2 linked regions of the Oryctolagus cuniculus genome follow. The protein of the gene in region 1 purifies or fractionates together with the protein of each later gene. This does not show direct contact. Links are inferred from orthologs where the notes say so. Each region holds a gene or a part of one and is shown on either strand. Other genes may lie near its edges. The genes, in order: HSPD1 and SIRT3.

The links.
Region 2: the proteins of HSPD1 (region 1) and SIRT3 purify together in Homo sapiens (affinity purification with mass spectrometry; 3 studies listed by BioGRID and IntAct, counting the BioPlex papers as one, with this or other methods). This does not show direct contact. The link is inferred for Oryctolagus cuniculus from reciprocal best matches to the Homo sapiens genes HSPD1 and SIRT3.

What each region holds. Positions count from the first base shown.
Region 1 is NC_091434.1:42,767,603-42,771,404, reverse strand, and holds part of HSPD1 (60 kDa heat shock protein, mitochondrial), read right to left. Parts: intron 3,253-3,802; coding exon 3,000-3,252; intron 2,575-2,999; coding exon 2,492-2,574; intron 1,588-2,491; coding exon 1,492-1,587; intron 1,180-1,491; coding exon 1,086-1,179; intron 255-1,085; coding exon 86-254; intron 1-85. UniProt on the Homo sapiens protein: Chaperonin implicated in mitochondrial protein import and macromolecular assembly. Together with Hsp10, facilitates the correct folding of imported proteins.
Region 2 is NC_091432.1:24,831-29,343, forward strand, and holds the start of SIRT3 (NAD-dependent protein deacetylase sirtuin-3, mitochondrial), read right to left. Parts: upstream 2,995-4,513; 5' UTR 2,979-2,994; coding exon 2,924-2,978; intron 1-2,923. Other genes in the region: PSMD13 (26S proteasome non-ATPase regulatory subunit 13), read left to right, coding at 3,906-4,000.

The sequences.
Region 1 (3,802 bases):
ATATGGAGGAACATAATGGAGATTTCAAACATCAATACAAGTTCTTCATCAGGAAATGTGAAGTATCAAATACACTGCTTATTACCTATTCAAAACAAGTGTACTCAGAGCTTCTCCATCAACATCTTCAGCAATTATGACCAGGGGCTTACGGTGAGCATTGGCAATTTCAAGAGCAGGTACGATGGATTGGACACTAGATATTTTCTTTTCACTCAGCAGAACATAGGCATCTTGGAATTCACATTTCTGACCTACAAAAAGCAAACAAAAAAAAAAAACAAAACAAAATTTCAAACCAGGAACCAGCCTCATAGAGTAGCAAGTAGACTCCACCTGGGACGCACGTATCTCATATGGGTACTGGTTCATGCCCCAGCTGTTCCACTTCCAATCCAACTCCCTGCCTGGAAAAAGCAACCCAGGTACTTGGGCTCCTGCTTCATCCTGACTCAGCCTGGCTGTTGTGGCCACCTGGGAGTGAACTGGTGGATCAAAGATCTCAGAGAGTCTCTCTCTTTCTAACTCTTGACTTTCAAATAAATACATCTTTAAAAAAATTTTCAGGGGCCAGTGCTGTGGTACAGAGGGTTAAAGTCCTGGCCTGCAGTACTGGCATCCCATATGGGCTCCAGTTTGAATCCTGGCTGTTCCATTTCCAAACCAGCTCCCTGCTAATGCACCTGGGAAAGTAGTGTAGGATGGCCCAAGTCCTTGGGCCCCCGCACCCATACAGGAGACCCGGAAGAAACTCCAGGCTCCTGGTTTCTGATCACCTCAGCTCCAGCCATTGTGGCCCTTTGAAGCGTGAACCAGCAGATGGAAGACCTTTCTGTTTCTACCTCTCTCTAACTTGTCTTCCCAATAAATCTTTTTTAAACAATTTCAAACTGAACAATGCAATTTATTTACACAGAAAACTTTCAATTCGAAAGTGATCAAGAAGTTCATGTTTTCCTTCTTTATTTCTTATAATTACTTTTAGAACACTTATTTTTTAGAGGTAATGCTACCAACTAATGCCTATAGCTTGACGTACACTAGCAATGTACACTTAAAATTTTTAGTTATTGATTTGTTCTTACCTTTTGATGTATTAATAAAGTATGGAGAAATATAGCCTCGATCAAACTTCATGCCTTCAATAATTTCTAATTCATCATTCAGTGTTTTCCCATCCTATGAAATGCCAAAGAATTAGGTATGTGGATTTCACAGAAGAGACACCAAACTTGCATCCAATTTCACTTCTACAAAAGCTCCAAAAACTCATACTTGAAAAAATTCTTACAGCTATATAGTTAGCAAAAATTACTACTAACTGGATCAAAAAATAGTAAACAGGGCACTTTTTACATGCGTTGAGATTATATATGAAGAAATGAAGTATTCACTGAACATTCTATTTGAACCACAAATGGACTGATTTTGTTTGGAACGCTCAGTTTTGATTACTGGACGTTTCATTCAAGCTATCAAAAACATACTTGCCTTTACTGTGATGACACCTTTCCTTCCAACCTTCTTCATTGCATCAGAAATGATGTTGCCAATTTCTTTGTCTCCATTTGCAGAAATTGTAGCAACCTGAAACAATCAAGTCAGTCTTTAGAATCAAACAGTAAGGCTAGGGTCCTCGATTCACAACCCTTGTCCTAGTAACTTTCAAAGTAATAATTCCATTTAGGGAGATTTTATGATACAACAGTTTCAACCAAAATATTGGCTCTCTGTACAATTCTTTTTAAATTCATTATTTGGCTATATTATTTTGAGGAGCACGAAACAATTCTTTTAAACAACAGCAGTTAAAAAAAAAACATGCTGGCATCTCATTTTTCCTCTGTAAATGTGTGATATTAAAACTAACAAACAGGGGCCAGCGCCGTGGCTCACTTGGCTAATTCTCTGCCTGTGACGCTGGCACCCAGGGTTCTAGTCCTGGTTGGGGCGCCGGATTCCGTTCCGGTTGCTCCTCTTTCAGTCCAGCTCTCTGCTGTGGACCCCAGAGGGCAGTGGAGGATGGCCCAGGTAATTGGACGCCTGCACCCGGTATAGGAGACCAGGAGGAAGCACCTGGCTCCTGGCTTCAGACAGGCCCAGCACTGGCCGTGGTGGCCATTTTGGAGGTGAACCAACAGAAGGAAGACCTTTCTGTCTCTCTCTCACTGTCTAACTCTGTCAAGTTAAAAAAACAAAACAAAACAAAACAAACACACTGACAAACAATGTACTTTGGACAACAGCTAAAAACATTTTCATGTATGCTCAAATCCATTTTGCGGTCATACAGAACTAACAAGATAAATCATCGAGATTCAAATTATAGTTACTGAATTCTTTCAAATGTTTCAGCAATAAGTAAAAATGACTCCGATGTTGGTGACTGAGTGCTGCTGCTACTCGATACTGGTGTGACGATTATGGAATACATTGCCACATGTACTAAGTTTTCAAAAAACTATTATTTTAATATACAAAAGGTCCTTACCTGAGCAATTTCTTCAGGGGTTGTCACAGGTTTTGACTGCTTCTTAAGCTCAGCAATTACAGCATCAACAGCTAACATCACACCTTGTTCAAGAATATGAGTACGTCATTACAACAGTTACTCTCACATGGCTTCCATGTTACATAGATTCACAATATTGTTAATGCCTTAACATTATGTCTATACACAGCTTCTGTGCTAGTGCCATTGCTAACTAGAGTTGAATGACATGCAGTTAACAGTAACTTTAACTTTACACACTAAGTAAAGACACACAGGGCCAGAACAGCTTTGGAACTTGACTAAATAAAGGTAGATGTGTATAGTTTCAAGAATTTCACTACAACTACTCCCACGTCGTTCCTAATCTAGTCACATGGCCTGCCGCTGAAAAGGGTCACCCAACGATTTACCTTCATTATATGATGCACAAAAAACCCAAAATGGGCAACCCTTACTTCCAACAAGTGACAAGATTTTGTCATGGCTGTCGCACATACATCCTTACCTCTTCTGATTTCCACTGGATTAGCACCTTTGCTAATCTTCTCAAAGCCTTCCTTGGCAATAGAGCGGGCCAGCACAGTAGCTGTGGTGGTGCCATCCCCAGCCTCTTCATTTGTGTTATTGGCAACATCTTGAACAAGTTTAGCTCCAATATTCTTATATTTATCCTTTAAGTCAATTGACTTTGCAACAGTCACACCATCTTTTGTTACTTTAGGGCTACCCCAACTCTGTTCAATAATTACTGTTCTCCCCTGTAAATGCACAGGAAAAAATGTCACATGATCTCATATGCTAAAAATTTAGAGTTAAAAAATGAGCAAGCTTCAATAACAAGTACTTAAAAATCTCCATGCAGATTCTATCATTTTTATCAGTCCTGCAACATGGTCTCAAGGGCAAATTCATCATGATCCTTAGTCTACAAAAACTGACCTCTGCTTCTCTGCAGAGCAGAACTTTGAATGAAATTATAGGAGATGAAAATCTCAGGGAATAAAAATGTCCTCTTATAATATAATAAAGTGTACAACGCAAGATTAATCACAAGATTCAATACTCTTCACATTGCTTATACTTAAGTTTTGCCTGGCGCTTATTCAACATACTCAGAATAAAGTACTCAGAACTTGGGAGACCCAAACAGAGTTCCAGGCTCCTGGTCTTGGCCCAGCCCCAGCTGTTGTGGGTTTTTGGGAGAGTGAACTAGTGGAAGGAAAATCTTTTTCTTTCAGATGAGCAAGTAAACCCTTTGAAGATTTACTGGAGCCGATGTTGTGGCTGTAAAAGCTACTGCCTGCAGTG
Region 2 (4,513 bases), on another chromosome or scaffold:
CTAAGCACAGACACAGTAAGCACTCACAAGTTGCTTTATAAACTCAGCCCCAGGACCGCAACAGGACACAGAGGCAGCACGAATATCCCGGCGCCTGCAGCAGCTCCTGAAAGGTCCTGCTGAGGTCTGCGGCCAGAGGAGACAGGAGGTGCTAAACGGCTTCTTGGGGCTCAGCTTTTGGCTCGGAGGCCCTGGACTGCACCCCGTCTTCACTCCTGGGTCACCAGGGCGACTTGCCCTAGCTCAGGACCCTCGCAGCCACCTCTGTCTTCCAGCACAGTGCGCCTCCGCCACGGCAAGTCCGTCTGCAGTGCGCAGCCCCCTGCAGCAACGGGAGCCCCTAACCCTCACCTCAGCAAGTAAACAAGGCCTCCAGGGAGCGCAGACACAAAAACGGCACAGCACAAGGGCACACCTGCAGGTCGTGCTGGGACACTTGTCGGAGACAGGAACAGGACGCCTCTAGGAGGATGACCACGGGCACTTCTGTCTGCTCTCCACCTTCTGGTCCTTACGGGATGGACACCGCAGTCTCCCGGTGAACCAGTCTACCTCACTGCCGCTGCGGTTTCCCCCAGAGCTCTGCTCCCCACGGGCCCTGGCATCTCAGCCGGCACGTCCACCTGGTGACAGCTTCGAGCCTCCAGGACTGCCTGCTCTGCACCCCATTCTAGCACACAAGGCCCCCCTGATTTCTCTGCGTCCCCTAAGTCCTCGTGTTCCCAGGCCCTTTCCCCACCCAACACTCTCTGCTTGAACAGGCCTTGGTCCACTCAGCAAGTCCAAATCTCACAGAACCAAGGCCAGGATCCAATGCCAGCTCCTTGATAAATCCCAGTGAGAGGTCCCTGGCCCTCCTCCCTAAGAGGACAGTCCTGGCTCCCGTCAACCTGCCTCCCACTCAGGCTGGGCCACCGACAGTGTAATCCAGGCACCCATCTGCCCCCACAGACCAGGGGGCAGCCCTGAGGTGGGGCCTGTGAGGATGGAAGGCACACTCTGCAGGAGGGGGCGCAAAAGGGGTCGGGTCCCTCCAGCGCCCTGCACCTCAGCTGTCACGGACAAAGGCAGGCAGACGGGGTAACTGCTGGTCTCGCTGACAAAGACGACAGCGGTGAATCCCCCCAGAAAGCACAACCAGCAGGGAGGAACACGCCTCCCTCTGCTCATCCCAGGGGCGCGAGGGGGCCAGCGCGGTGGCGCAGCGGGTGACGCTGTGGCTTGCAACACCAGAGCACAGGATCCAGTCCCAGCTGCTCTGCTGCCAGCTCAGCTCCCTGCTGGAGCGCCTGGGAAAGCCCGGGAGGCCGGCCCACTACCTGGCTCCCTGCCACCCACATGGGAGACCCAGAAGGGCTCCAGGCTCCTGGCTTCAGCCTGGCCCAGCCCCAGCCGTTGAGGCCACTGAAGACTGACAGTGGATGGAGGGCCTCTTTCTCTGTCCCTTGCTGTCATCCTGCCTTCCACGTACACAAAGTGAGCTTTTTATAAGAGGAGTGCGTGAAGCACTTCAGCAAGGCACCTGCCCTGAGCTCGCGCAGGGAGGTCTCCAAGGAAAACCGGCAGCCGGCGGGAGGGGAAGCCCCGGCTCCGCACCGCGGCCCCTCCCCCACTTGCCACCTGGCAGCAGGCCGTCTGTCTACTCGAGGGCATTTGCTGAGCTCCGCCCATATGCAAACCACAAGAAACACAGGGAGCGGACACCCAGACCACGGCCGTGTGCCCGCTGCCGCCTGGAGTTCCTCACTCAGGCACGTGAGGAAAACGGGCGGACGACTCGCGGCCGGCACCTTGCTCTAAGGGTAGTGGCCGGAGGCGACCCTGAGAGCCAGGCACGGGTGCCAACTAAGAGACGCAAAGGGACATCCACGCCAGAGCCCCACAACCTGAAGCTGAGGACCCAAGTTCCAAGAGCCCAAAGGACCGCTCGGCTCTGACGCCAGCGCAGGCAGGGGCACGGCCACCGGCCGGCCCTGCATCAGCTCAAGGAAGCGAGCAGCCGTCCTGGCCGCTGGCCCTTCCAGAAGCACAGAGCCGGACACGCAGTGGGGGCCCGACCCGGCGTCCGGCTGTCTCCACTGCACGCTGAGGCAGACAGCGTCAGAAGGCACTGTCACTCAGAGACACTCAGCTCGGCTCCTGGACAAGCGCCCGGGCGCCATGGCGGCGAGGGAGGTGCAGTGCCCACGCCAGGGGCTCCTGACGTCCCCACCTGGAGCCCCAGGCCCAGAAGTCCGCCGGAAAGCTGGGGTGCACACGAGGGGACTCGTCAAGGGCGGCCGTGGCAGGACAGGCGGGGGCTCCTCCGACAGAACAGGACGCGGTCACTCAGGAACGTCCACACTCGGTTAGCACGGGACCGGTCACTCAGGAACGCCCACGCTCGGTCAGCACGGGACCGGTCACTCAGGAACGCCCACGCTCGGTCAGCACGGGACCGGTCACTCAGGAACGTCCACACTCGGTCAGCACGGCCGTGATCAGTCACTCAGGAACGCCCACGCTCGGTCAGCACGGGACCGGTCACTCAGGAACGTCCACACTCGGTCAGCACGGCCGTGATCAGTCACTCAGGAACGTCCACACTCGGTCAGCACGGGACCGGTCACTCAGGAACGTCCACACTCGGTCAGCACGGGACTGGTCACTCAGGAACGTCCACGCTCGGTCAGAACAGGACAGGTCACTCAGTAATATCCACACTCGGTCAGAACGGACGCGGTCAGAACGGGACCGGTCACTCAGGAACGTCCACACTAGGTCAGAACGGACGCGGTCAGAACGGGACCGGTCACTCAGGAACGTCCGGACACCCGCACGGCGGCATCGAGGACGGACCCCAGCCCCCAAACGCCCCGAGCAGCGCGCACCCGGACGCCTCGGGGAGCTCGGCGCCTCCCTCTGGCCGGCCCGGCCCGCTCACCTATCGGGCCCCACAGCCTGAGTGCGGCCACGACCCGCTGGCTCCACAGCGCCATCTTCCTCCGCGGCCACGCGCGTCCACAGGATCACGCACTGTCGGCCCCTTTCCACGCCCCAGCGCGCCCTACGCCGCTGCCCGTCCGCGGGCCCCGCCCCTCTGCGTCCTGTCCCCGGCACGTGGCCACGCCCCCTTACGGACTGCCCCCTCGCCGGCGCTTGGTCCCGCCCCTTTACGTCCCGTCCCGCCCCGCCCGCGGGCCCGCCCCTTTAGGTGCCGCCACGCCCCATCCGTGGGCCCCGCTCCTGCGCATCCTGCCCCCTCCCCGGCGCTTGGTCCCGCCCCTTTACGTCCCGTCCCGCCCCGTCCGCGGGCCCGCCCCTGCGCATCCTGCCCCCTCCCCGGCGCGTGGCCCCGCCCCGCCCGCGGGCCCCGCCCCTTTGCGTCCCGTCCCCGGCACGTGGCCACGCCCCTTTACGGACTGCCCCCTCGCCGGCGCTTGGTCCCGCCCCGCCCCTGCGCATCCTGCCCCCTCCCCGGCGCGTGGCCCCGCCCCGCCCGAGGGCCCCGCCCCTGTGCGTCCAGGGAGAGACGGGCGCTGCGCTGGGCGGTCCCAGCGGGAAATACTCTGAGCGCCTCCTGTGGTCATGCATTTCCTTTACCCCGGGGCCTCGCCAGACGCCCCTGGGAAAGTACTGTCCCCATCCTCGCTTGACGGGGGAAACCGGATCCCAGAGCTGAGGCCGCACGGCCAGGCCGACCCCCGGCGCCCGTCCTCGCCCACGCCTCAGCGGCGGGTTCCGCTCCGAGGCGAGGCGGCGCGCGGTTGCCGTGGCAACAGCCGCCTCCGGGGAGCCTGGGGCGCTCCCGGCATGCCCCGCGCTACGCGGCGCCGGAAGTGAGCGAGCATTTCCGGCCGCCATCCCCACGGTCCCGGTAGTCGGTTGTAATTCGGTGTCGGGCTCCCGTGCGTGTTCTCGTCGTCATGAAGGACGTGCCGGGCTTCCTGCAGCAGAGCCAGAGCTCCGGGCCCGGGCAGGCCGCCGTGTGGCACCGTCTGGAGGAGCTGTACACGAAGAAGTGAGCGGGGGCTGTGGGCGAGAAAGCGGGGTACTGTGCGGGGTCCGTGGAGGCGGCGGCGGCGCCGTGCGGGGAGCGGACACGCGCCAGGCTGGGCAGGACCCCAGGAGGCGGCGGCGCCGTGCGGGGAGCGGACACGCGCCAGGCCGGGCAGGACAGGACCCCAGGAGGCGGCGGCGGCGGCGCCGTGCGGGGAGCGGACACGCGCCAGGCCGGGCAGGACCCCAGGAGGCGGCGGCGCCGTGCGGGGAGCGGACACGCGCCAGGCCGGGCAGGACCCCAGGAGGCGGCGGCGCCGTGCGGGGAGCGGACACGCGCCAGGCTGGGCAGGACCCCAGGAGGCGGCGGCGCCGTGCGGGGAGCGGACACGCGCCAGGCCGGGCAGGACCCCAGGAGGCGGCGGCGCCGTGCGGGGAGCGGACACGCGCCAGGCTGGGCAGGACCCCAGGAGGCGGCGGCGCCGTGCGGGGAGCGGACACGCGCCAGGCCGGGCAGGACCCCAGGAGGCGGTGG